2 separate regions of the Mus musculus genome follow, and region 1 is reported to be linked to region 2. The links are microRNA targets in miRTarBase. Many come from high-throughput screens and were not tested one by one. Region 2 holds a microRNA gene; the other region holds the end of a gene's coding sequence.
Evidence for each region. Region 2 holds the annotated microRNA mmu-miR-190a-5p (UGAUAUGUUUGAUAUAUUAGGU, at 1,831-1,852, shown strand). A microRNA usually pairs through its seed, bases 2 to 8, with sites in the 3' UTR of a target mRNA and lowers its output. Matches are read on the target gene's strand: a 7mer-m8 pairs with bases 2 to 8, a 7mer-A1 pairs with bases 2 to 7 and ends in A, and an 8mer does both.

Region 1: the mRNA of Serinc1 is a reported target of mmu-miR-190a-5p. Seed matches in the 3' UTR shown: 7mer-A1 at 3,413-3,419.

What each region holds. Positions count from the first base shown.
Region 1 is chr10:57,513,502-57,517,501 of GRCm38, forward strand. Serinc1 (serine incorporator 1) reads right to left here. Exons shown (of 9, transcript NM_019760.3): 9 at 2,273-3,791. The coding sequence ends at 3,656. Among named protein-coding and RNA genes, the nearest start is that of Serinc1, 17 kb to the right of the region's middle.
Region 2 is chr9:67,234,400-67,238,551 of GRCm38, reverse strand. It overlaps Mir190a (microRNA 190a), which reads left to right and starts at 1,826; the gene lies at 1,826-1,892. All of the region lies in intron 53 of Tln2 (talin 2), which reads left to right.

The DNA of each region.
Region 1 (4,000 bases), not on the chromosome of region 2:
TCCTCCAGTCTGTATTTCTTCACTGGCTTGCTTCCTTCCTTGACTGGAGAAGTACACACCTTCTAAAATTACATTCACAATAGGAACTGACTTGGCTTTCAAAATCAGCTTATAGGAGAGCCACCCATCCCTCCTGCATACTTTAGACTAATCATCTTGATTATGAGCTTTTTAGGTTGGTCTGTTAAAGCTTTTAGTGCTCACTGGTAAAAGAATTATCTGAGTTGTTTAACAAAGGTTTGTTTTTTTTCCACAAATACTTCTTTTACTGGGATAAACAAGATTCAAAGTTTAATAATGGCTCTTGAGCATCAGTTTTGATTTTGCTATCACAAACAATATAAATTTTGTTATAGTAAATATTAAGTATTTTAAGTCTTTCATAATTCTGTATTAAAATTCTATTCATCAGGTCTTGTTTACTTTTTCTGAAACGAAAATATCAGAAAAGTACAGACATGTATAAAGTAACCCTGGGTGCCATCAATCCAAGTCTGGGCCTGATTTGTTGAGAAGAGTTCAGATCTTTCCTCCTGTATAAAGATCATTACTATTGAACAGCCCAGCAAGTATAGAATGTGAGATATAAGGTGGAGAGTGAGTGTTCTTTGCAAGTGACTCCAAGTTAATTTAAACCTATTAAATCAGCAGGTTTCTACTTCTTCCAGGCAGCTGGGGCTTATCTCATCTGATAGTCTTCGAAGCTTGACTCCCTTTTAATTGGGTACTCACTCTAGCAGGAACAGGCCTAGTGAATCTGGTCAGTTTCAGGAACTTCCTGAAGCTATTTTGAGTTTTCCTTCCTACTTAAGAGCTTCCTACTATAGGATGCAATATTTTGATCTCTGAGGAAAATGTTTATTCCACAAAATATGTATTTGTGAAGAAGAAAAAAAAAAACCCCCGCACATAATTAAGTGTTGCTTTCATCTCTAGTTGCTTCCAGCAAATAATCTTTGGTCTAGCCACCATATCCTATATACATGTATTATATGCTGATTCAAGGGATGAATGGGCCACAAAGGGAGAATTGGGAACGTGGTACATATCCGTGGGTACCAAAGCATAGTAAGATTAATCTTAAACTGGCTTGGTTAAAGTGATCAGAATGAGTGTATGGTTCTAAATGTTCTCAAAGTCTATTATTAAGTTGGTCACGGGTTAAAGTTTGGTTTGTAAAAGCAAGCTACGAGTAGTAGTATTTTACAGACAAGCCATTTCCCATGTCATGACTTTTCACTAACCCAGGATTTGAGTTAGCTATTTCCTTACTACTTAGCTTACACCCCATGTGTAATCATTCACCCAAGACATCCACTGTCTAGGTTTGGCTGCTAGAAGCAGTTGTAATGGCTACAAACCAGAGTTCAGTTCTCATCAGGCAGTTCACTAGCTCCAGGTACTAACTCCAATGTCCTTCTCTGGCCTCTCTCTCTCACACAGAGATTGCTTGCTTATACACTCTAGAAACTCTATAAAGAATTTACAAGTAAAATATACCAAAGTTTGGCAACTGCTAGAACTGGATGTCAAATGTTCCCATGTGGACAGACAGCATGTTCCCAGGAAACTTTAGAAGGTGGGAATGGGTGTGGGCAGACCATTGAAGATTATATAATCCTAGTAAATTGTGAGAGTCCAGAATCTTGCTCTGCTATGGATCCTCACTGGTATGATACTTTGACACTCCAAAGAAATAAGGACACTTAATTGTGTACTGGAACCTTCAGACTTACGAGCCAAAATAAACTTACGTCTTCTTGTGATCTATTGTGGAGATCAAAAGTTAATGTAGTGATTCATGGATAGGAAGATCTTATCAAATAGGCTAGAGTCATTTGGGAATAGAAGGTCTCAACTGAGGAAATGTTCCAATTACACTGGCTAGTAGGCAAGCTGATGACCAGTTTCTTACATCACCTTGATGGAGAGCCCAGCCAATTGAGGTAGTTTTCATCCCTCCTACTCCCTGAGCCTGTGGTTCTGGAATGCTCTATAAAAATAAGCAGGCCAAGTCATAGGCATCAAGCCAACAAGCAGCACTCCTCCGAGGCCCTGCATTGGTTCCTGCCCTAACTTCCCTGGATGGTGGACTTCAAACTGTAAGAAGAAATAAACCTTTCTTTCCCAATGACTTATGGTCACTTTTATCACAGCAATAGAAATCCTGAGACAAATTGTTGGCCAGAGAAAAATGCTGGCCACAACCTTTGGAAAAAAAGGCCTGTGGAAGGAAGAAAGCCACCTACATTTGTAATGCTACCACCACACGTTTTCTTTGAATGCATTTATTTAAGAGAACACAGCCATTCAGAATTGTGAAGCAGTATTAACACAGAGTAAGGCTGGAACATGAAGATGAACTGCTATAGTACATTTGCACAATAAATACTTTTAAAGACACATGTAGTTCTTTAAAAGCTAGATACTAACATAAATAACTAAGCATTTTTATCTTAATTAAGTGGCATACTAATTTTCTAGTCGATTTACTATATCAATTGCATGGCAGTAAATACAAACATTTTAAGCATGATTAAATATGTAGTGAATGTAAGTTGTCTATTCCTCAAGTTAATTATCCTCCTGGCCTCATGTTTGGATAAAAAGAAGAAAAGCATGCTGGACAGCAGCGATACATTTTACACAAATTTATCTACTATTAATAATGTATAAAGTGAATTGTACATTTTGAACACAAAGTTTTTATGTCATAGTGTTGGCTATTTTTGGTATCCAACTTTGTCACTAACTAGCTTTAGAGCTAGTTGACTTTTAAAATGAGAACTGGACTAGACTTTATCTTAGTGCCTAACCCGAGCCTAATGTTTTATGTCCTGTAAGGTTTCCCATTTTGTTTGGGAAGCTTTTAGTTTCAAATTTTTCTAACACAATATCTTTTGCAAAACCTTGTCTAAATGCAGAATTGTTAACATCGCCATGAAATTCATAATTGTGTGTTCACAAAGAGCAAATCATTTTTTTTTGGTGGGCGGGGGTGACGGCCATATTTTCTTACAGAGAAAACCGTGATCTAAGTACCTGCTTTAAACCCGTATTGCCAGTGACTTCCTGTGACGGCTCCTGTCTATTGCTTAGCTTCCCTCCACCTCCTGTACTGTTTTCCACTAACTATGGAACATCCTGGGCCTACCTAGTAAGAGAAGATTCTGACAAAATTAAAGTGACTTAGAGTTTTCAAATAACTAGCCTGTGACTTATTTACATAATTTTAAAACAGCTATTTGCTTTATACTTGTAGTCCTCTGTAAGGCAACAACAACACATCAAGTATTTCAAAGGCAGCCATACACTTAATTAATGTTTCTAAAATAAGTGCTAACACAATTTTGAAACCCAAATGTCAAGAATATTTGTTTTCAGTTTTAATACCATATGTACACAAAGCAGATGATATGCCTATCAATGTCCATTTTTCCCAATTTCTCACCATATTCAAAATTCTCCCTTTCCAATTCATATCATCAATAGACTTAGCAAGAACATGGATAAAATTGGCAGAGTAAATCTATTTCATGCAAGAGAAAAACAGTGTTACACTTACACAACAGCACATACAACTTTACAAAAATTGGGAATACTGTTACTGTCAAATAGACAATGGCCAAAGTGGGACTCATGCCAGACATCCCATTCAGTCAAAATCCCGATTTGTAAGAACAAGTGGTGCCACTAGTGTCCACACGTACAGCACAAGGCCAATCCAACTGGAAGAGATTTTCACCCAGACTGCTGTCCACTGACTTTTCATCTCACGAGAAGGCTCATACCTACAATATGAGGAAAAGTCAAAGTGATTGTAGGTTAATGGCTTGTGTTACTAAGCTATCAAGCTACTAGGCCCCTTCATTTAAGCTTCCTTTGTATGGAGTTTGTGATAATGTGCAGTAGCTCCTGGAATCATGATGGTCCTGCCATACCCTCCATACTGCTGCAGCAGATCTTTCACATAGTTCGAAGCAAGGTATGCAATCTGTAC
Region 2 (4,152 bases):
GGTTGCTCATTTGCGTCAACATTCTTGATTTGGAAAACAGACTTACTGGGATCTCCTTCATCCTGCAGGATTGTTCTTATAGCATAAGTCGATAACGTAAGAACATGGTGCCTGACTAGTAAATGGTAATGCTATCACCTCTGTCACCATCACTATGACCAGACATATGCTTTCTGACACCTTCATTTTTCATCTTTGTGTGGAAGATAAGGTCTTTCATGGATCCCTAGTTGGGTAAGAGGGCGGGCGACAGGGCTACCGTAAATACAAGACACGGTCCAGACCAGTCTCCTAAGTATTTTATCTGGTCCTCACCACTGTCAGACCGTGTGATTGAGTGGGGAGGGAACATAGAGCTGGGGTCCCAGTTTCTGAACACTGTACTCCCTCTGATACCCCATTGGCAGAGAAAATGATTCCCGTCCCTCAGGACCACTGCACTTTATAGTGTCTTAGGCTGTTAGACTTGTCTCCAGTTCCTTTCCTAAGGAAAAAAACCCAGACTTGTGTGAGAGGGATGTTCTAGAAGCTTGGTTGGTAGCAGTAAGAAGTTGGGGTCTTCTTGAAGGGAAATGATGAGGCTGTTACAGTAATGAAGAGTAATGGTTGCCAGACTGTACAGCGTGAAGATGCTTATGGAATGAGTAAAATGGGGAGAAATGATAACACCTAGGCATCCATGGTTAGTGCTTATGTCACAAAGCTGGGAACTAACGGAGATGATCAGCAAAGAACAGCTAAGACTTGAAATGGGACCAGGGAACGGCAGGCTCTGTGTTTTACAGTTCTGGAAAACAATGTTTGAAAACCACACACATTGAAAATGAGGGGGGCTGGAGAGAGGGCTCAGCGGTTAAGAGCACTGACTGCTCTCCCAGAGGTCCCGAGTTCAATTCCCAACAACCACATGGTGGCTCACAACCATCTGTGATGGGATCCGATGCCCTCTTCTGGTGTGTCTGAAGAGAGTGCCAGTGTACTCACTTAAAATAAATAAGTAAATCTTAAGAAAAGAAAATGAGGGATGGTTGCCGGAGGCGGCCTGTGTGGACCCCTTATGTGTACACTGCTAGGCATTATCCATGAAAGTGTCTCAAAGCAGCTTATCATCCCAAAGCATGTAGCCCCGGGCTTGCAAGGAGGGCCGTCCACCGTGGGAAACTTCTTGCACAATGCATAACATCCTCCTGACAGTTACAAAAGAACTTTTCCTCGGCTTAAAAGAAAAAAAATTACCGAAACAGCAAAACCAGCTAATATTTGAGGTTACTTTTCTCCATCCTGTCCTGTAACCTTAAAGACAAAAATCCTCAGGGTGCCATAAATGGCAGCTGCTCCTGCATACTTGCCATAGTGACTGTGGCCACCCACCCCCATACCACGTGAATGAGGTTATCCTCCACCCAGGCAGAGCACCTGTGCTGCTTGGAGGACTAGTTTGGGGAGGGAGGGAGGGAGGGTGATGACTTCCAGCTGTTTTGATTACCTGGTTCTCAGGTTACCTGTTTTAAAAGGAGACTAGTCTGTGGCATGTGAAGATGGTTCTGGTGTAGTTCCACCCTTGGGCCCTGACCATGGAAGCACCTCCCTTTACCTGTAATCTCTCAGACGTGAGTGACAGACAGGTGCACAGACTCCCTTTTCATTTGGGGAAAGGAGCCCAGGCTCAGAGTGTGTGCCACCAGCATTGTTGCTAATGGCATCCTTGCCACACCTACAGACACGCCTGTGTTCCAAGGCAGGCTGGGAGATACTGCAGAGGTGACTGACTCCCACAGCCATATTCTCAAGCTCAGTCAAACCTGGATGCCTTTTCTGCAGGCCTCTGTGTGATATGTTTGATATATTAGGTTGTTATTTAATCCAACTATATATCAAGCATATTCCTACAGTGTCTTGCCCTGTCTCCGGGGGTCCTAACAAAGTTTAGAAGCAACAGGAAAAAATATATTAAAAAATCACAAGTAGGTTTAGATGACAGAGTGCGTATGTTGTTATGTTTCATTCCATTTCTTCGTGTAGCCTTTAAGACCTGTGTCTTAGTTACCTTTCTGTTGCTGTGACAGGATGCCCCAACCAAAAGCAACTTAAGGCAAAAGGGTGTATTATGGCTTAGTTTATCAGGGGCCAGACCATCAAAGAGGGAAGGCCGGCAGTCAGGAAGTAGAGAGATAGGACAGCAGATGGAGCCAGGCCATAAAACCTCAAAGGCCAGTATGTCCTTCAGCAAGGCTTTGTGAATTCCTAAAGCTTCCATAGCCAAATGGCACTGCCAGCTGAAGACCAAATGTTCAGACACACTAACTTATTATGGATGGGGGATGCTTTGTTTCAGACCACAACAAACTGTATCAATACTACTACATTATCTGTTTGTTGTGGAAAGGGAGTATAGCTCCTGAAGGCTTAAGATATTTTCTAAAGTTTAGTTGAATGCAATTAGGAGTCCTTAAGAAAAGTATTCAGTGGAAAAAGATGGAAGATAACAACCCGTGTCTTTGATATAGGACAAAGGTTAGGATTGTAACTGGCAAACACATTGATCTAGATATTTCTTCCTGACAACTCTCAACACACTCTCACAGATTAAATTTTGTAATTGTTTTCCATGCCAAAAAAAAAATCGGGACATTTATTATCTCTAACTTTCCGCTTCTGGTAACAAATCTAAACCCTGGTGACTGTGCTCACTTTACGGATGGTGAGCCCGTAAACCTTAATTGCAGACCTTAATTTGGATCAGATATGTCTGATGAAGAGAACATGCTCGGGACTGTGCTCTGTCGGTTGAGTTTTCTGTTGTAGGTGAACTTCTGCACAGAGGTTGTTAATATTTAGAAGAACCCGGCAGTCCGAAAGTAAACAAATACTCTAATTGGCTGCCGCAGGAAGTTGGGCTATGACCCAGAAAGCATTCTTTCGGGTATATATCAGCCTCTCTGGCTGCTTTGACTTCTTCCCATAAATGAGTCCGTGAACTGTATGTGAGTTTACTCTGAGCTGTCTAGCACAGAGACTATATAAGTACTTTTCCTGGAAATAGCATGGCTATGCTCCCAGGCCTTGTTGGTTTTACCTTAGGAGGAAACAACTCTTGATGGCACTCCTAACTGTGGATGAGCAAGACCTCTTACCCTACAGGGGCAGGAGAGTAGTTTGACGGGGGTCGTCAGAAAAGGAACTTGGGAATATGTAGAAGCCACCATTGGTGAACGAGTAGTTTTTTTAAGCATCGCTCTAAAAGGTCTTTCGGATGAAGACACTTGCCAGAAGTGGTGAGATTTGGGATGGGGGGTAACTCTGCTGCTGTCTGGCATTCCCATGTGGCTGATTCATATTCTGAGTGGGAGTGGGAACGGGCACACAGGTGTTCTGTGACATGGGAAAGCAAACATGTTTTCTGCATGGCTAAGCTACAGGCTTGGAGCTCACATGCCAGACCTTGGTCCCAGACAAGCAGAGAGTGTATTGCCAGGTGGTTCTCTACCAGGACCTTGTTAGGTCCTTAGATGCATAGAAGGCTCATACCAGAGATTCCTAAGATGAACCAAACTGTATCTCATTGAATAATGGAAAGGCTTCTATTGTCCATACTTCCTATATCAAGGTCCAAGTGACCCCTTCTTCCCCTTTTTGAGAGTATGACAGAATTCTAAAGAATTTATTTTCATCAGAGACTAATTATAAGATCAACTCAGTGGTATTACTTTTTATATTGAATATAAGTTACAAAAAATGTAATAAAGCAATTGTATTATATGGGGAAAAACTATTCCCAAGATACTAACTGTGCAGGCTTGGGGCTTTTCCAATGGATGCTACATGAACCTATTCCTTTATTATCTATCTGGATGTGAAGGTGGTGCGTATCCAGCTACTAACATGACTTGCTCAGCAGTGGTTTCTCTGTGTCACCCTGAGCTTCCCCTGAGACCAGGCCTCTGTGAAGGGTACCAGCTGTTCTGGGAGATTTGCCTTTTGTTAGCTTTATTAAGGATGAAGGAGGTCTTAGAGCCAGCCAACCCACTGGTCCTTCAGAGCACAAGTTGATGTAGCCATGGTATGCTTTGGCCAAGACTTTCTCCCCAAAGCATCTCTCAAGTCAAAACCAGAAGCTAGGCAGGAGCAGCCAGGTTCTGCACAAGAAAGGAA